Callithrix jacchus: one gene and its partners. The protein of the gene in region 2 interacts with the protein of the main gene of each other region in a pairwise test. Links are inferred from orthologs where the notes say so. Each region holds a gene or a part of one and is shown on either strand. Other genes may lie near its edges.

The links.
Region 1: the proteins of EDC3 (region 2) and ANXA10 interact in binary tests that used the Homo sapiens proteins (3 or more experiments, as listed by UniProt). The link is inferred for Callithrix jacchus from reciprocal best matches to the Homo sapiens genes EDC3 and ANXA10.
Region 3: the proteins of EDC3 (region 2) and DCP1A interact in binary tests that used the Homo sapiens proteins (3 or more experiments, as listed by UniProt). The two-hybrid records come from large-scale screens. The link is inferred for Callithrix jacchus from reciprocal best matches to the Homo sapiens genes EDC3 and DCP1A.
Region 4: the proteins of EDC3 (region 2) and EFHC2 interact in binary tests that used the Homo sapiens proteins (3 or more experiments, as listed by UniProt). The link is inferred for Callithrix jacchus from reciprocal best matches to the Homo sapiens genes EDC3 and EFHC2.

What each region holds. Positions count from the first base shown.
Region 1 is NC_133504.1:23,298,286-23,303,947, forward strand, and holds the start of ANXA10 (annexin A10), read right to left. Parts: upstream 3,564-5,662; 5' UTR 3,404-3,563; coding exon 3,386-3,403; intron 1-3,385.
Region 2 is NC_133509.1:21,561,092-21,566,716, reverse strand, and holds the start of EDC3 (enhancer of mRNA-decapping protein 3), read right to left. Parts: upstream 3,829-5,625; 5' UTR 3,542-3,828; intron 1,136-3,541; exon of another isoform or gene 1,003-1,135; intron 1-1,002. UniProt on the Homo sapiens protein: Binds single-stranded RNA. Involved in the process of mRNA degradation and in the positive regulation of mRNA decapping. May play a role in spermiogenesis and oogenesis.
Region 3 is NC_133516.1:35,839,502-35,844,504, reverse strand, and holds part of DCP1A (mRNA-decapping enzyme 1A), read left to right. Parts: intron 1-4,260; coding exon 4,261-5,003. UniProt on the Homo sapiens protein: Necessary for the degradation of mRNAs, both in normal mRNA turnover and in nonsense-mediated mRNA decay. Removes the 7-methyl guanine cap structure from mRNA molecules, yielding a 5'-phosphorylated mRNA fragment and 7m-GDP.
Region 4 is NC_133524.1:45,133,052-45,137,450, reverse strand, and holds the end of EFHC2 (EF-hand domain-containing family member C2), read left to right. Parts: intron 1-2,942; coding exon 2,943-3,044; 3' UTR 3,045-3,458; downstream 3,459-4,399. UniProt on the Homo sapiens protein: Microtubule inner protein (MIP) part of the dynein-decorated doublet microtubules (DMTs) in cilia axoneme, which is required for motile cilia beating.

The DNA of each region.
Region 1 (5,662 bases), on a different chromosome or scaffold from region 2:
ATAAGAACAGTTCAGGTAGGGCATTTGAGAAAGAAACTCAATGAGTGGATACAGAGGTGACTGAAGGAGAAGAAATGTATGTAGTGGGTGTAATACGTGTTTGAGGAGTTTTGCCATAACAAAGAAGAGAAGTTAGCAGAAATTGAAGTAAGTGGGTTTATGAATTTTTTTTTTTTGCATGATAGAGTCTACTTACAAATAAACATTATGCTGAGTTTAAGAGAAAATATATTTCCCTGTGTGAAACTTTTGATGTTTCTCAAATTTCTTCATAAAATTTGGGACTGTTGTATGTACACATGTATACATATATGCTTATATATGTGTTACACACACACACACACACACACTTGTATTAGTAATGAATACACACTTAACCTCTGCTCTAGAAGCAGTGCATTGGGCTGCTGAAGGCCAGGGCTTTTGAATCAGAGAGTTGGATTCAAGTTTTGGCACTGGTACTAAATAATACTGTGAATAACAGCTCATCTTTTTTGGGATACTTCTATGCTCTAGATACTCTTCTTCGTGCTTTTCCTGCCAAACAATTCTCAAGATACCCTTACAAGATAGCTGCTGGTATCACACTCACTTAACAGGCAGAAAAATTGAGATGCAGAAAGATTCAGCAACCTGTGCTCAGTCACGTGGATCCTATGCAGAAAGGCTAGCTTTCAGTGTGTGTTTAGTCACTATCCCACAGTCATATTTGCCCAGCCCCTAGATTAAAAGCAGTCTATTATTGTTATAATAGTATTTTTTAAAAATTAACAACATGTATGCATACCTCTTCAAGGAAAAAGCTATTACATTTAATTTTTCCAATCCAATTCTTATTAGTTCTACAGAAGCTTCAGTAAAAGTTGAAGCCATAACCAGCATGATTCATAACTTTTGTTGAATCAAAGTGTGTAAAGTTCAGATAATGTAGTCTTGTGATAGTGAAAAGCAATCTAAAGTATGAATAACCTTTAAATAATATTTGCTCAGTAAGTCATATTGCAGATAAACAATCAAAGTCAGATTTCTTGGATGGAAGTTTTTGTCCTGGGAATTACTTTCTACAGGGAAAGTCAGTTTTGAAAATAATTCTTACCTTATCAACTGCCTCTCTGCCCATGAGATGGGTTCTCAGTCTGCAATCACTCTCATGCAATATAGCCTGGATTCTTTTTCAATTTATGGAGTGCCTTTCCTTCACTACATGTAATCTGCTGCTAGAAACCAATGCGTTTATTTTATGTTAGTTAGGCTAAAATGCTGTATGTCTCATTGTCCATGGTAGACATTGTGTAACTTGCTGTTGTCTGACTTTGGCGCTCTTGAGCTATTCTGGGAAAATGCATGAGTCAAAGCATCTTTGTAAAGAGACTGCTGCTATGATTTTCTCGTTTAATTAGGGTCACAAAGAATAATCATACCTAGGCATTTTTATCTTGTTGTGGTAGAAATGATTTTGGAGTTACAAAGGATCCTATGTTTCCCTCACCTCCTGAGTTTTTTACTCCTGGAAAAAGTCTTTAATTTCTCTGAACCAGTATTTTCATCTGGAAAAAGGGGTGGCAAACACAAAAATAATATATATAAAACAACTGGGTAGAAGAGTGCCTCCAAAAGAACTTCAACCTTTGCATATTAAATGGCATTTTTATAAGACAATTTGCTGTGAAGATTAAATGAGGTATGGATGATGTATATAGACATTCAGGCAATTATTATAAAATTTCTCTATGTTTGTGTAATACATAATGCTATTTTAGGTAAGAAATATATCAATATGTATCTTGCTTTTTATACTGCTATGATCAACATTTTCTGTCAGTGAATATGGTAGAAATAGGAAAAGGTGTCAAAAGAATAGAAAAGCAAACAGGGTTAAAGTTAACTCTAATCCTATGAGAGGTCAAAAGGAAGGATATCTTCTAAGAAATGAATCTACAGTAAATAAAATGCAACTGTATGAAAAAGAGGGATCAGTTGATGACAAAACAGGACAAAATCAGGAACCATTTTTACAAGAAAATTCTATTCTAAAAGGAAGATGTACTCTAAAGAGACATTATAGATTAATAAAAAGAATTTGCGTTCTACGGACATAGAGATACCTGGGTTTAAATCCTGGCTTGGGCAAGTACCTGTATAGTACAATTTCCTCCATACTAAGAGAACTACTATAATATAATAATATCTTCCTACAATATGATTTATATCTTACTAATATATCAAAACTCAGGCTTGCAATTGTCTCTTAATAAAATCTTGCTTTATTAATGTTTCTTTTGGAAAACTGACATATAAATAGTAAAATTAGACCACACAATGCACTGAATATAATAGTAATCATTTCCAAGTAATTATACTCAAATGAACTGAAAGAGAAAACAAAAGGCATTTTCGTATTTAACCATTTACCATGCTGGCCTAATTACTTGGTAACTTTTATTTCTTTATAGTGAAATATAACTACCTCTCAATGAATACAATGATAATGGCAACTTTCAACTGCAAAATGAGAACTTGAAATCTTAAACTAACAGCGATGGAAAAATAGCCACACTATAATTCCTATTTCAGTATTTATGTGAAGAAACAAAATATTTAAGTAGAATTTTCTTGCAATGATGACTTTGTATGAGTAAACAATATTGTTTGTTTGCCAAAGTTTAACCTAATAATTATGTTATGATTGTTTTTGCATAAAAGTTCCCAGAAAGCTTTTTTTATAGGATAGATTTTTAAAGAATCATCAACACACATGTACTTGTGTATAATTTCCAAGACCATAAGGAATAGATACATTCTTGTATAAAATTTCAAGACCGTGTGAAATGGAGACCTTTACATATAATATATATTCAGATAACTTAATGTTTATGTTGGCTCTTTAAAAGTTAGTGAACTATCAGAGCAGTTGCAATGAAATGATTCAGACAAGGACAAAACAAAAAATAAAAGACTAAGTCTTGTTATACATTGCTTCAATTCAACATAAAATTATTCAAAAACAAGCTGTCTTCTAAAGAAAGCATGGATTTAAAATAAAATTAATAGTTAAAATTATTTTAATGTTTTATAGATAGAAATCAATATTGAGGTTAAAAAATCATGATAGCTTCAGTTAAAATTTGGAATCAAATTACTTGTGAAAGTAGGGACAACTGACTGGCCTCTGTGGGATAATACATTGTTTCAAAATTAGCATGGATTTAGGAGTTAATAATATTAACTTTGTATAATAGCTTTATTGAAGACCCACTAATTAAAAATTTATGAAAAACAAATTAAAACAATATTTTCCTTTAAAAAGTCAAGAAACACATATAAAATTTTACTACTGAATTCTTAAAAGACTGAAAAGCTTTACAGAAATAACCATTATACTCACATAGTCTCCACAAAACATTTTGACGATTATGATTAGCTTCAGGGATCGAAATATTTGATCAATCGCATAAACTTGTTTCACTGTGGATCCAGAAAGAATGGAGGTTCACTGCTAAATCAAATGTAAATACGTTCACTGTTCACCTCAGATTCAGATGAGAAAATGGAAGAGCAAATCTGGATACTGCATGAATTGAGATACGTATTTATACTTAGTTATCAATCATAGGTGAGTATGCAGAGTTACTGCACAAAATAAATAGAACCATTAACCTAATCTCTGGTTGCATGTTGATTTAAGACACATAAAGTAGCCAACCAATGAAAGAAATGTAATATTTTGAAAAAGCTGATGACTTATGGAAAGCTAAGTTGATTACCCACAAAGTTAATGATTTATTTCTGATTAATTGTTATTAACATCCAAACTCTTTCAAGTGCTCCAACCCTAGTTTCATATCTTAAATTGCTAGGCTCTATATGTATCTACACCATTTAAAAAATATTTCAACTACTGTTGATCTGCTCTTATATTAAAAAAATAATGCATTTAGGAGCCAGGCACAGTGACTCACGCCTAACATCCCAGCACTTTGGTTGCTTAGACAGGCCGATCACTTGAGGTCGGGAGTTTGATACCAGCCCTGGCAAAATGGCAAAACCCTGTCTCTACTAAAAATACAAAAATGAAAAATATATTTTAAATGTATTTAGGGAAGAATTCATTATCCTCCAATAAAAGCCTTTGGAGAAACATATTCACCATCATTCTTGTACTTAATTTTTATATATTGTACATGTAATTTTAATGTTTAACTATTGCATTTTAAGGAAACAAATTTAGGAAAAACCTGTCAAGTTTAATATAGTATTGGAAACTATCTAGATACATTTATATTTTATTCCAAAAATAACAAAATGAATCTGTATTATGTTATTTTACTGTTACTGGCTATTTAGTGAAAAATACAGTGTTCATTTATAAAAATTTTAAAAAGCTTTGAAAAAGAATTAAGAGAAAATAATTCTTTATTGAAAGAACAGAATACTACAAGTGTCAACTGATCAGTATCCATAGCTCTAGAAGTACCCCAAATAATTCTGATGTTAAAATATGAGTAAAAGCCATTAAGCAAGATGTCTTAATGTAATGCACCCAAGTGTGTGTGTGTATATATATACACGTATATATAGCAGCTACATACATATACATATGTTATTCAGCATTCAATTTATATTATCTGATTAGCTTACCAGTATACCTGGTACTATGAGAGATATATGGAAGCATGATATTTGGCTCAAAAACATTAACATTTAGTAAGTTCTACTATATATGTGTATGTGTCTGTGTATGAATCAAGGTCTTGTGTTTTTGCTGTGTATATTTAGACAGCATATAGCAATTATAAAATAATAGATATACTTATTAAAACTCTAGGATTCAGAATTAGAAACAAAAGAAGAGTTTTCAACTATAATTTTTTATGATTATTTTAGTAAGCTTTCATTATAGACTAAATATATGAATCTGAACAAAAGTTGTCAAAATATTTGAGACCAAAATATTTTCCCTAAGATTATTAGATAATTCAGAGAAAATAGATTTGATAATATTCCCTAATTTTCTCCCAGATAATAATTACTTAGCATATAATATTATTCATCATTATTTTGTGATTTAGCTTTTAACAACATGTCTTCAGTGGAAACTATGACATCTGGTATTTGGTTTATAATATTCAATGGAAGAAAGGATCATAAGACACCTTTTGAAACCAGTGTGTCAAAATCTCAAAAGCTATTGAGAAGATGGTAGTTAATTAGTTGAAATGCCTCTATTTTATCTGTTTATGAAAATTTCCTTGATGAAAATTTAAAAATGTTTAGTTGTAACTTATTTACTTATACTTAAATATCATTTATCTGTAATCTGTATAGTAACAATGTTATCAATAATTAAGCTTTTTCTCTATTCTAAACACTGTTTCAGGTCCGTATAGTGGTATAAATTAATTCCTATGATAACTGTATGAGCTTGGTTCTATTATTGCCCATATTTTATCCATAGCATAGATAGATAGTAGAGAGGAATTAGAGTTACTCTGTAATCAAGAAAGTTGCCAAAAATCCCACTCTTGAAGTGGGAGAGCAGAATTTGAACCTAGGCAGTCCAATGACAGATCTGTAACCTCAATCTCAATGTTACATGTTCTATTAATAAATAAAACAAAGCAACTTAAAAAGAAAATGAAAAGGCATGTTTCTTGATTCAGAA
Region 2 (5,625 bases):
ATTACTCTGCTACTAAGGCCAAAGATGACGCAAAAAAAGAAATCTTCAGACCAATATCCGTCATAAACATAGTCACAAAATTCTTAACAAAATGTTAGCAAACTGAATCCATCTATACGTAAAAAGCAGTATATACATGACTAACTGGGGTTCATTTCGCAAATGCAAGATGTGTTTAACATCTGAAAATCAAGTAATGGAATACACTGTGTTATACATCTTACAATCTTTGCTTCAGAAGGTTAGTAGTATGTTTTTCAAACATCAAATTATATTCTATCAATTTGTATTGTAAAAAAAATACATATACTGCTTTTTTTTTTTTTTTTTTGAGATGGAGTTTCGCTCTTCTTGCCCAGGCTGGAGTGCAATGGCACGATCTTGGCTCACTGTAACCTCTGCCTCCTGGGTTTGGGCAATTCTTCTGCCTCACCTCCCCAGTAGCTGGGATTACAGGCATGCGCTGCCACAGCCGGCTATTTTTTTTTTTTAAGTAGAGACAGGGTTTTTCCATGTTCAGGCCAAGCTGGTCTTAACTCCCCACCTCAGGTGATAGGCCCGCTTCAGTCTCCCAAAGTGTTGGAATTACAGGCATGAGCCAATGCGCCTGGCCTAGATAATTTTATATTTAAGAAGTCAATATTTACTTGTTAGAAATTACATCCTAAACTATTTAAAATAAAATACTGGCTGGGTGCAGTGGCTCACGCCTATAATCCCAGCACTCTGGGAGGCTGAGGTGGGTGGATCACCTGAGGTCAAAAGTTCAAGACCAGCCTGCCAACATGGTGAAACCCATCTCTATTAACAATGCAAAAAAAGTTAGCCAGGCGTGGTGGTGGGCACCTGTAATCCCAACTACTAGGGAGGCTGCGGCAGGAGAATCGTTTGAACCTGGAAGGTGCAGGTTGCAGTGAGCCAAGATTAAGCCACTGCACTCCAGCCTGGGCAAGAAAAGCGAAACTCCATCTCAATAAATAAACAAATAAATAAAATACTTACACTATTTAAATCTATGATGCAAAGTTTCAGGTGCCAACTGAAAAGGATATAAGATCTAACAGACTCCCCAGTCTTCCAGAAACTCTCTAACAGAAATGTTTTAAGACCAATGACCCAGCGTATACCTGTAAGCCTGAAATGACAATGAGAAAAATAACCATTCATGCCAAAGCAATACCATCATATCTTCAGACTTGATTTCTGCCCATAAATTTACTCTTAGCACACCTAGATGCAGACCTAATATTCAGGTACAAGCCTACCAGTGATGCAACCTTTCTAATTCTAGATTTTGCATTCTCCTAATACAATATACTAACGCAGGTCACATCAGTACTTCTCACAGCTTTCTTGGCCACACCACTGACTGGTGATTGAGATATCAAATCTTTTTATTACAAGAACTCCTGTGAGGTCACATCTCCACCCTCCCCCAATAGGTTATAGTTGACTTTTTTGGACCCAAGTGCAATTTCTCACATTTATACATGCTTCTTCCATTTCATTAAACACTGAGCAAATATAGTGAGAAGTTTTAGCATTCTGGCAATCATCAACCAAATGATCCTTGCTTTACTTCATAAAGGCACCAAATCCAATAAGCAAACTTTCTAGCTAAGGTTTCAAATACATAAAGTGTATAAAGAAAGTGATGAAACTCCAGTTTAGATCACCAGAATTCCAGCCGTAAGTAATGTCCACACATCAAACCTCTCTAGATATAGATGCTAAAACTCATGACTCCATCTAGTCCTACCACAATTTGGCAAATTCCTCCATCTCGCCCACTCGATTATCATAAGACTTAATAAATGCCTTGCTAAAAATTCTGACACACTATCAGGAGCGCAGTGACTATTATGGTCACTACGCTTCTTTGAGATAGAATTTGGATGTCCTGTCCTGTTGTTCTGCTGAATTTAGGAGAACTCTAGTAAGCCCTTCTCTGGATAAGAAAAGAAAAATGACACTTCTTCCATATTGCATTAATTACAGAATCTCACGAATGGCAATGATTTTAAACACTTTCCAATGTTGTTTTTCTTAGAGACAGGGTTTCACTGTGTTGCCCAGGCTGGCCTTAAGCAATCCTCCCACCACTGCACTCGGCCCTAGTGTAATATTTTTCTTTTCTACTTTTTTTCCAAGATGGAGTTTCACTCTTGTCACCCAGGATAGAGTGCAACGGCACAATCTTGGCTCACTGCAACCACAGCCTCCCGGGTTCAAGTGATTCTCCTGCCTCAGCCTCCCAAGTAGCTGGGATTACAGGCGTCCACCACCACACCCAGCTAATTTCTGTATTTTTAGTAGAGATGGGGTTTCACCATGTTGGCCAAGCTGGTCTCGAACTCCTGACCTCAGGTGATCCAACCGCCTCAGCCTCCCAAAGTGCTGGGAGTTGGTATGTTTTAAACTATACGTCATGACCTATTAAGGGTCAGACTCAACTTAGTGAGTTGCAACCAAAGTTTTTTTAGAGTGTATCTTCTGTAGAAAAAGTAAGTAAACTTTTAATCAGGATGTGTGTGTGTACACACTGTGTAGGGGCACAATAAGTCATGATGAAAAATGTATCTAACTGTGGGTCACAGGTCAAAAATTTCTGACACTTTTCTAGCCCCACAGCCCTACGCCAAGGAGGCTCTACCAAGAAATCCGTAGTAAACAAAAAGTCATGTTTTTACAACCATTTTTACATCATACAGAGAAATAAACTAACAGAATTTTGTGCTCAGTACACCTAATCCGTCATTCATTAAAAAAAAAAAAGATTAGGAACCATCTGCGTGTCCAGTTGAAATACTAAACTGCCTGGAGACAGTCATTTCTGTTTTGGTGGGGTAAAGACCTGTATTTAAGACAGCAGACTGAAATCAGTTTGATCTGTGGCTAGGGAAGAGAAGAAAAACCATTCTGGGTCGTGAGTTCCTCATCTGAAACCACAGGAGAAGATTGTTGGCTTGGTCAGTTAATTATCAATTAATCTCCCAATTGCAAAGCTAACCGAAGCAACTGCTATTGGAAGATTAATTAAAAATCAACTGACCAAGCCTACAAGGGCTATGCCTCCCACAAACCAAAAACACTTTAACCACTCAACAAGTCAAGTATTGATAAATACAATCAATATCACACAAAGAGTACTGGTAAGAACCACAGACTGGCACCAAAGGCAGAAATGAATCCAGGGATAACTTCTGGGATTCAGATGTGCCCTGGTAAGTATAAATTTCTCGGGCACCCTCTTTTTCTACACTCCAGTTCACCTCCGTCCTCAAACTATCAGTCATGGATGTGGCACTAGCGTTCTTCTCTGCCACCGTATCTCATTATGCAATGGGAAACTGAGGCACCAAGCAATGAGTGACTGAGCCAATGAACTGCAGCAGCCACCAAGAAGCCTGGACTAAGGGCCCAAGCCGCTAATGCCTCACTCCTCTCACAATCCCCTTACTATTTAGAATCCTGCAGTCCTCAGCCTCCCACCTCAAACCAAACTCCTGCGGCCACCCGTAGTACCTAGACCCCAGCGTACCCGATGAAGCCACCATCTCGTGCCCGCCTCAATAAAGGTCTACAAGGCCTGGAACTCCGAAGTCTAAAGCAACTCCGGCTGGCAACCCCGGAAGCCCCCTCCCACGAGCGTCCACAAACCAGCTGCCTCCCGTGGTTCCCACCTCCGAGCCGACGGGCCTCGAGCTCCTCCGCACACCACCACCAAGTCGACCACAGAACACCAGGGGACCCAAAGAGGGGCTCTCACCACGTCTACCCTCACTGTTCGGCGGTAACCACCGACGCCGCCGCCGGAAGCTCCCCCACGTCTCCTCGCCACCTCCGTGAGGTCACTTCCGGCGCGACTCCTTGGAATCCAAAGCGGGCCGTTGAGGGGCGTGGCTCCCGGGAAATTTAAGAGGTGGAAGAACGGCCCTTCGGTCTTCCAGAATTGTGCTTGGGTAGCCGTTTTGCGCTCCACGCTCACTTATGTCCTATGGCGTCTTGGCTGGAATCGGGGCTCTACCCACGACTCCCCGGCCTCGATGTCCGGGCCCCCCCAGCAGTCTCGATGAAAGCACCCACCTCCCCTCCTGTTCCCCCAACGCCAATCGCAAAGCTAGAGCGGAGGACTTTGAGGGAGGCCTGGTGACGTGAGACCCACTCCTTGCTAAACCGCAGCTGTGGGACCCAATAAGTGGGACACCCCTGACGGATTAAAAAAAAAGATTTCCGCCGTGGTCGATCTTCAAAGTGTATCTGCTTCAGCCCATTTGGGGGTTAGGTATCAGCCAGTCTGTGCTTGACTGCTCTCCCTTGCCTGCATACTCAGTACACGGGAAAGTGCTGCTCTCCTATCCTTGGCGTTTTAGAGTCTTGATTTATGGGGTGAGGGGAAAGCATACATTTAGGGCCCAGACAGTGTAATGAGAAATTTTGCACAACTTTGAAGCCTGACACCTGGTTCAGGAACCACTACTTGGTCGGGCAGCATAGAAAAGGGTAGCAGTTCCAAACCTAGCTCTACAAAATCAGTTGAGTAACTTTGAAAAATTTCAACTTTCTAGGGGACTACACCCCTCCCCCTCCATCACCAGAGATTCCCTAGGTCAGAAGGGGCCCTGGCTTTTTAAAATTACTGTTATTAATGAAACTAGAGCAGTTTTTGGTTCAGGGCAAAATTGAACAGAAAGTACAGAGTTCTCATATATCCCCTGTACACACAGGCACATACATGCACAACCTGTCCCCTTATGGACATCTTGCGCTACAGTAGTACATTTGGTAACAATTGATGACCCTACATTGACACATCATTATCACCCAGAGTCCACAGTTTACATTAGAGTTTACCCTCAGTGTTGCACATTCTGTGGGTTTTGACAAATGTGTAATGACATGTATCCACCATTATGGTGTCATACACAATAGTTTCACTGACCTGAAAGTCCTCTGTCCTCTACCTATTCATCCTTCTCAGTCCCCTAACCAGTGGCAGCCACTGCTCCTTTTACTGTCTCCATAGTTTTTGCCTTTTTCAGAATCCCATATACTTGGAATCATACAGTATGCAGCCTTTTCACGTCAGCTTCTTTCACTTAGTAACATGCTTTTAAGGTTATTTTTTGTGTTGAATAATATTCCATTGTCTGGAGATGCCAGAGTTTATCTGTTCAGCCAAGAAAAGACATCTTGACGGCTTCCAAGTTTGGGCAATTATGAATCAAGCCACTATACAGCATGTGCAGATTTTTGTGTAGACCTGAGTTTTCAATTTATCTGGGTAAATGCCAAGGAGTACAACTGCTGGATTGGATGGTATATTTAGTTTTGTGAGAAAAGAAACTACCAAACTGTCTTTCAAAGTCACGGGAGCATATTGCATTCCCATCAGCATTGAATGATGGTTTCTGTTGCTCCACATCCTTGTCAGCATTTTTGTGGTGTCAGTATTTTGGATTTTCCCTGTGTAGTAGTATCTTATTGTTTTGGGCCAGGCGTGTGGCTCACGCCTGTAATCCAAGCACTTTGGAGGCCAAGGCAGGCAGATCACTTGAGGTTGGGAGTTTAAGTAGTATCTTATTGTTTTAATCTGCAATTCCCTAATGACATATGATGTTGACC
Region 3 (5,003 bases), on a different chromosome or scaffold from region 2:
CTCCTGACTTCAGGTGGTCCACTCACCTCGGCCTCCCAAACTGCTGGGATTACAGGCATGAACCACTATATCTGGCTCAGAATCCAGACTTTAAGCATATTCAAGCATGAGGAGAGAATAACATTTTACCTTTTCTGTGGATGCTAGACGGTTAGTTCATGAATAAATAAACACAGCTACTAGAGAAGGGCAACCAATTTTTCTTATCAGAAATAGAAAAGAAGCCGGGCTTGGTGGCTCACGCCTGTAATCCCAGCACTTTGGGAGGCCGAGGCAGGTGGATCACCCGAAGTCAGGAGTTCCAGACCAGACTGACCAACATGGTGAAACCTCATCTTTAAAAAAAAAAGAAAGAAAGAAAGAAACAGAAAAGAATGCAGAGACAGTGAAGCTTCTGGGGATTTGTGTGACGAGGAATGTTCTGCTCACCCAGGCTCCTATGACAAATTCAACCAGTTAGGTACAGTTGTATGTTACTTAACAATGGGAATACATTCTGAGAAATGTGTTGTTACGGAATTTCATTCTCCAAACATTACAGGGTGTACTTGTACTTTCACAAACCTAGATGACATTGCCTACTAACACCTAGGCTCGATGGCATAGCCCATGGCTCCTAGGCTGTGGACCTGTACAGCACATCATTGTGCTGAGTATTACAGAATTTGTTGTCTATTTTGACTTTCATTGCGTGGGTTTGAATGTTGCCAAGGATTTTTAAACAAACAGCTGTGTCCTTCATAATTCTTTGCATCGGGAGTGACTAGGAGCTTTATAGTAGCCTAGCCTTGGTTATCTTACCAGGTATATTGTTGTTGTCTTGCATTATGGGGATATGATATTCCAGAAGCATTTGATGAACTTTTGTTTGGTACTCCATGCTTGCTATTAAGACCACATAGTGGGCCAGATGCGGTGGCTCACTCCTGTAATACCAGTATGTTGGGAGGCCAAAATGTGCAGATTACCTGAGGTCAGAAGTTTGAGACCAGCCTGGGCAATATGGTGAAACCCCGTCTCTACTAAAAATATAAAAATTAGCTGACCATAATGGCGCACACCTGTAATCCCAGCTACTTGAGAGGCTAAGGCATGAGAATCACTTGAACCTGGGAGGCAGAGGTTGCAGTGAGCTGAGATCGTGCCACTGCATTTCAGCCTGGGCGATAGGGCAAGACTCCATCTCAAAAAAAACAAACAAACAAAAAGATCACATGGTGTTTATGTGATTATAGTTTAAGCCAACTTCAATTTATTGAATGCTTTTTGGGCACCAGACATGATACAGAGAATTTAATTTCCACAACAGTGTTCTAAGATCATTGCCACAGTGTCCACAGTTTTCAGATAAGGAACTAGATTAGAAAGATTATGCTGGACTCAATGGCTCACTACAAAAAAATTTAAAAATAAACCAAGTACAGTGGCATGCACCTGTGGTCCCAGCTACGTGAAAGGATTGCTTGAGTCCGGGAGTTCCAGGCTGCAGTGAGCTCTGATCACACTACTACACTCCAGTCTTACTGACAGAGTGAGACCCTGTCTCAGAAAAACAAAGAAAAAGAAAGGTTATGTAGTTTTCCCAATTAACAGCTGAGGTATTTTTGATTTCAGACCCTAAACTCTATAGTTTTTTTTCAGAAGTAAAAATATGAAGAAATTGAACCATATAAGATCTTTAGCATTTTTTTGTATCCACAGATATTCATACTGCCTCATATTTGAAGTGAGATTCTAACATTAGTGGAATCTCTTTATTTAATATTTTCTAAGGCAAAATGGTTTGATATGAAGCTACAACTTTTTACAACCTCTGTGGGAGATTCTTGCCTCTTCCTCCACAAGAGTTACTTTTTACTGACTGAGTTTTTTCAGACCTGCCTTGTCCCTCTTACCTAGCAGGTGATGCTGTCCTCATACCAAGGAGAGAAGACAGAATGGCACCCTTAACTTTTGTCCTTCACATGCAGACTTGCCTGTATGCTCATTGCTGCTGGCCCTCTTTTTTCTTGTTGTCTGACATGATCTCCTCCTGACACAAGATCTCTTGCACCTGCCCCTTAAGCTCCATCTCTCCTTATGCTAATCTCCCCCTACTCCCCGAAAGAACTTTGGAAGAGAGCACTGTGGAGTGTCTGCTATGTACTGATTAGATCTGTGGTCCTGGGTGGCGGTGCCATTGCTCAGGTAGGCAAGTCCAGGAGCAAGAAAGATAAGGATTGGGGAATACATGAGAAAGAGAGCCCCTGCCTTGGCAAACTTGCTTTCCATGTTGTTGTTAGGAGTGCTGACATTAAACACGCACTTCCTATGTGCTGGCTCCCATACATTTCAGCCTCCCACTAGCCCTCCCTACTTTATAGAGGCCTGAGACTCAGAGTGGACAGCACTCCTCAGTCCACACAGCTGGAAAGGAGCAGAGCCAGGCAGCAGCAGTGGGCTCTAGGCCCTGAATCTGGGCATTTAATAGGACATCTCAGCTCTGTCACTGTAGCGTCCTAGGGGGATGCCTTTGCTCCCTTGACTTGTATTACCATTTTTGTGTTTTAAGAACACAAAATAACATTACCATTTTGTGTTCTGAGTCAGTACCTCCATGTTCTAGATGTCCCACAGAGACCTCCAGACATGTTCACAACTAACTTGAGCGTCCCCTTCTCCCTCAACCTAGGGGCTTTTCCAGGGCTGCCTGCCCACGCAGTGGCACCACCACCCAATACCCAGATAGCAAGGTGTCCTCTCAGCTCCATGCTCTTACCTGGCCAGCCACCAACTCCTTTTATTCCAACTCTAGTTCTCATCCTCTTCTCTGCCAGTATCTTAGACTCTCCTCAGTCTCGCCCCTCCAATTTGTCCTTTATGTGGCCGACCAGGTGCACATCCTAAAATGTAAAGCTTGATGGCTCATTCTCTGATCATGTCCCCATTGCCCTATGGATAAAGTCCAGATCCTCTAAAGTGTCTTGGACACTCTGCAGTCTGCCCACTGCTTCTCTCTTTCCCTGTCACCCTCCTACCCAGCCTCTGACCCAGCTGTGCTGAAGGACGTGTAGCTGTCTCAGTGACTGTGTTCCCAGCCAGCTGGCCTTATCCCTCCCCGCTCAGCCTTTTTCCCAGCGCCTTCGGTCCTGCTGGGCCCTGCAGCTCTGCCCTGCGGGGGTCTTATCACCAGTTATCCTGGCTTCTTTTTTCACATCACAGTCATAGCACAATGCCTGGCACCTGATAAATTCAAGAATTTTTATCAAATGGATGAGACAAACATTTGCCTAGACAACACTGGGTTTGTTTTCCTGTAAATGTGATTATACCATAGTCCTATCAATATTATACTAATTTGTGGTGGAATTTGCGGCCTTCCAGACTTTCTGAGGCCTTGAAAATCCTGTGTTTCAGTGAGTTAATTTTTCCACTATAAACAGATCTAAACAACTAAATAATTCACTCATTTTAGGAATAAAAATTTGAGGCCGCCTGTGTTTTCAAAGTGCTTTGGTATGTCTCCCACTAAAATGTAAGCTTTGTGAGAACTGTTGTTACTCCCTTGCTGCATCCTGTGGGCCTGGGTTAGAGCAGGACCTGACACCCCATTAGTTCTCAGGAAATAAAGGTTACTGACTATGGCAGTACTGCTTAAAGGTACAGGAAAGCATGAATATTTTTTCTTTGAATGGTTTTAATGGTGTCAGTAAACCAACTTACTAAAATAAATATAAACTTTAAATTGTCAGGCTTAAATGCTTTGCTTTTTCTTAAGAATTCTGTGACTAGGGAATAAGGAGGGGGAAATGGCCCACTATTAAATGGTTAGATTTATTTTCTGATATTTGGGACCCAGTCTCTGAGGTCCAGTGCCTAGCTTTTCATCAAGAACAGTGAAAGTAAACATAGACTCGCCTCATCAGCATTTGGTCCCTGTGTCTCCTCTAGTGTCATTTCCCTTCGTGTGTTGCTGACATGAAGCAATTGGGCACAATTAGCTTTGCCAAGAAAAGGAATGGTGAATTATGATGCTGCTACCCAGAGACCTTAAAAATTTGAATTATATTACTGATGCAAATTTCCATCCGCCACTCTGGGAACACTAGATGAACCTGGGCCTTAATCCTAAGTACATCTTCATTTTTTTTTTTTTACCATTCCTTATTTTTATACTCCATCCTTGATTCTGCAAAATCTTTTGGTTTCTGGAAAAGAAGTTTGGTTATGCTGATATATGGAGAGACCTCTTTTCACTGGGTGGTTTGATTTGTTTTTCAGTCTGCTCTATCTGGACACAAGCATCTGACAGTAGAAGAGTTATTTGGAACCTCTTTGCCAAAGGAACAGCCAGCAATTGTGGGTCTGGATTCAGAAGAAGTGGAGAGGTTGCCAGGAGATTCCTCCCAGAAAGATCCCAGTTCCTTTCTACCGTTTCCCTTTGAGCAGTCAGGAGGAACCCCTCAATCAGAAACCCTGGGTGTCCCTTCTGCCCACCACTCAGTCCAGCCTGAAATCACCACCCCAGTGCTAATCACTCCAGCCTCCATCACACTGTCCAATGAAAAGCATGCCCCAAGCTACACAATCCCTTTGAGCCCGGTTCTCAGTCCCACTCTGCCAGCTGAAGCTCCTACTACACAGGTTCCCCCCAGCTTACCTCGAAACAGCACCATGATGCAGGCAGTGAAGACCACGCCTAGACAGAGGTCTCCACTCCTGAACCAGCCAGTCCCTGAGCTAAGCCATGCCAGTCTGATTGCCAACCAGAGCCCCTTCAGGGCCCCATTGAATGTGACAAACACAGCTGGCACATCCCTCCCAAGCGTTGATCTTCTCCAGAAACTCAGGTTGACCCCACAGCATGACCAAATACAGACACAACCACTTGGGAAAGGTGCAATGGTAGCAAGCTTTTCTCCAGTAACTGGCCAGTTGGCCACACCTGAGAGCTTCATAGAGCCTCCCTCTAAGGCAGCAGCAGTGAGAGCAGCAGCCCCAGCCTCTCTGAGCAACATGGTGCT
Region 4 (4,399 bases), on a different chromosome or scaffold from region 2:
TTGATGTCCCCTGGACAACTGAAAGAAAAAATGCCCACAACTGAAGTTAGAATTTCCCTCTGAGCCTTGTTTTCCTACTAAAAAATGTTTTTAAACTCTTTCTGCTTTCCTTATGATATTATACTAGGTTGAATATTGTCCCCTCCAAAAGTCATGTCTACCTCAAACCTCAGAATGTAACTTTATTTCTAAATAGTCTTTGCAGATATAATTAATTAAGATGAAGTTATACTGGATCAGAGTGGACCCTAAATGCTGTGACTGGCGACTTTATAAGAAAGCCCCGTGAAGACATAGAGATATACAGAGAGCACCATGTGAAGGTGGAGGCAGAAGCTGGAGTGGTGTGCCTACAAGCCAACAAACAACTGCCAGCAATCACTAGAAGCTAAGAAAGAGGCATGCAATAAATTCCCACTTAGAGCCTCCAGAAAGAGCCAAGGCTGCCAACACCTTGATTTTGGACCCCTGGCCTCTTGAACTGTGAAAGAATAAGTTTCTGTTGCTTTAAGCCACTTACTTCGTGGTACTTTGTTATGGCAGCCCCAGAAAACTAATAACAGACACTGTCAACTGTTACTAAATTTAGAATTCTTAGAACCATCCTTACCTATACTCGTTTCCTAGCGATGCCCACATGAAATACCACAAACTGAGTTGCTTAAAACAGTAGAAATTTATTCTTCTGCAGTTCTGGAGGCTAGCAGTCCAAAATCTAGGTGTCAGCAGGGCCATGCTGCCTCTCAAACCTGTGTGGGAATCCTTCCCTGCCTCTTCCTAGACTCCGATGCTTTGCTGGCAGTCTTTGGTGTTCCTTGGTTTGCAGCTGCAGAACTCTAATCTCTGCCTCTTTGGTCACCTGGTGTTCCCCCGGTGTGTCTCTGTCTTCACCTGACTTTTTATAGGGAGGCCAGTCATATTGGATTAGAGGCTCACCCTACTCCAGAATGACCTCATCTTCCTCATCTTAATTTACCTAATTACATCTGCTAAAACCCTATTTCCAAACAAGGTCACATGCTGAGGCACAAGGGGTGAGGACTTCACATACCTCTTTTGGGGCGGGGACACAATTCAACCTATAGCACTACACCTTTCTTTTGTCACCATTTCAAACTGATCCCCTTCTAGCTATTTCACGTTCTCCTGCAGCAGCTTCTCTCAGAGGTAGCTCCTGTTCTCCATGCCTGCTTCAGCTGCCCTGGTTATGGCACCGTCATCTTTTCGTGGTATTATTACACTCACCTCCAGATTGATTTTCTTACTGCATTTCATTCTCTGTACATCCAGCAAGTTAGCTCATCGGTTTCTAATCAGATTGCTGTCATTTCCCTGGCCAAGACCTATCAGTGACTTCCCCTAACCACAGCCTCAAGTATAAACTAGCACAGAAGGTCAGAAGTTCGGCCCCAGCTTCTCCTTCTAACCATCTCTCTTGCCACTTTGTACCATGTGCCACAAACCACACTGCTCTACTCACCCTTTCTTTAAAATAGTTTTTAGATCTCTAGGCCTTTGCTTATGCTTTTCCCTATGCCTGGAACATCCTTCACTACCCTTAACCCTCTGCTGAACTGCTTTGTGTCCCATAAGGTCCAACTGAAACACCACTTAATCAGCTGGCTTCCAAAATTCTATCACATCAAATAATTGAGCCTTTACCTATGTGTCTGACACCTTGTGATTCTGGATACTAATATTAATATACATATATACAACAATTAATCTTGACAGTCATATTTCAATCTTGACAGTAGAAATATAAGCAACTGTATGTACGGACTTTGCCTCCTGTTGATATTAATTAACTATTGCAGCATACGCAAAGAGTTTGTGTGTATATATACACACATATGTATTACATATTATAGAAAATGTGCATCTGTGTGTGCATGTGTATGCACACATAAAGTGGCTTATCTTCAGGATCATACTGTGAGTGATCCAGCGTTCTTTTCAATGTTTCCTGAAGAAACAGTAACCAAGCAACATATAGCTAATAGTTTGTATTTTAAAAATTGGGTTCTTTAGATGGCAGTTCATGCCTGTAATCCCAGCACTTTGGGAGACTGAGGTGGATGGATAACTGGAAGCCAGGAGTTCAAGACCAGACCAGTCTGGCCTGTATGGGGAAACCCATCTCTCCTAAAAATACAAAACTTAGCCAGGCATGGTGCCGTGTGACTGTAATTCCAGCTACTCGGGAGGCTGAGGCACGAGAATCACTTGAACCCAGGAGGCGGAGGTTGCAGTGAGCCAAGGTTGCACCACTGCACTCCAGCCTGGTGCCTGGTGACAGAGTGAGACTCTGTCTAAAAAAAAAAAAAAAAGAAAAAAAGAAAAAAAAGAAAGTATGGGAGGAGCTATCACTGTAACAATGCCGAATAACAACTCCTTAAATTTCAGTGGTTCACAAGACACATTTCTTTTCTTGTCTGTGGGCATGTAGGTCAGTCAAGCATGGGTGGATTCAGCTGAGCTTGGCTCTTAGTCTACAAGTCCAGCCTGGTCTGATCTACCTTGGTCATTCTAAGAACAGCAGCGTCCCAGGCCATGTTCTTCTTATGGTGATGGCAGAGGCACGGAAGGCCAAGCCAAATGATGCCAGCACGCTGGAGCCTCTGTTCATGATATGTCTGCTTACAGTACATAGGTCAAAGCTAGTCATGTGGCCCACCCCATATCAAAGGAACAGGAAAATACACTCTTCTTACTCCACGGGAGGTCCTAGAGTCACATGACAAAGAGTGTGGGTGCATAATTCTTATACAGGCAGGCAATGAAGAATCAAGAACAAGTATCCAGTCTACCACAAAGTCCTTATGAACCTAAAGTAGATGGTACAAATTTTCACTTTGAATATAAACTGTTTGGTGTTGAATTTGCAAAACTGTACTTGGAAATGTGGCTCTAATCGTATCCATTTTTGTTTTTTTTTCTAGAGATGTGAGGATGTTTGGCTTGGGATGTCATCACCTATTCCTGCAAAAAACATTGACTACTTAACCTTTTTGAAGGATACGTTTGGCTTAGAGGAGGAATAACCATGCCAGTTTTGGTCAATTCTTTTTGATTTACTTCTCTAATTTTGCCACATTTACTTTAGTAGATATAATTTCATTAAAAACAAAAAAGAAACAAGGTTTATATTGAATGGGAATCCGTAAACCACAATGAATCTTATTTTGTCATGTTAGATTTTCAGGACACCATATTATATTGCTGATGTACTAGTACTATTTAAAATGCCATTTTGAAACATGTTGAGTATTTTTATTATATGTATGATTTATTAATACCAAAAATCTTCTGATAGTTTCTCATCAAACATAATTTGATTCATGACTATATGAATGGAAAGTGAATTTTGATGGTTATACATGACAATATAAAATGAAATTATATCACAGAAATAAGTTGTGATTCTATTAAACATTTCTGAAATCTTTTTGACATGTTTATTACTTATATAATTAAGTTTTCTGGCAACTCACCTCATCAAAATAGTTCTTAAACCTTTCTAGAGTAAATATGTTTATCTTTTGAACTTAGTAAAGCTATGGAAAGAAAAAACCTCCCCTCGACACACACACATACTTGGGAAACAAATGGGAACATATGCAGTATTTATATTTTTAATACCCTTTTTTTAACTAAAGTCATCTTCTTAGCTTAGGAATATATGCATGTGTATATAATTATAGTATGGCCAAAATTTATTATGTCTAAAATATTTAGGAATGTGAATGCTGAAGATTTTGAGATTTTTTTTTTTTTTTGGTTTGTTTTATACACACATCCCACCCACCCCACCCTAGAGGTTTACATATTCAGAAACTACAACATTTCCCCCACTGCATTTTTCTAGTTCTATTTTTATTTTTCTTCAATGGAACTCTTGTCATATACTGTACATTTGATTAAAACCCATAGCCATGTACTTCTGGGAATTCAGTGTAGAAGTCTATCTCAGTCTATCTGTTGTTCAGTGTTGGGTGCTATGTATCATCAATCCATTTCCCTGGTGTTCTCGGAGACAATGGAGGCCTCTCAAGAAGGACCTGCACCATTTACCTTTCAGTGACTACTTTGAGAAGAAGAGGAGCTGATGACATCTCAAGGGACCCTTCGGACTCATTATTCTTTCACTCCATATTTGCAGTAGTGTCTTGCTGGCTTCTTGGCACTCAAATGTACCAATATGCTCTTGACAACAGTGGTCCTTTCATGTTTTAAAAATTGAAGTTAATCGATAAACTATTTCTATATAGAAACCTACGATAATTCCACATGTGCTATTGTTAGAATAGATGCTTCCCCCCACCCCCACCCTTTCAGGACTTTAAACTAGTATCCTCAATTTATATACTAAAACTATCTACCATAAAACCTAAATTTC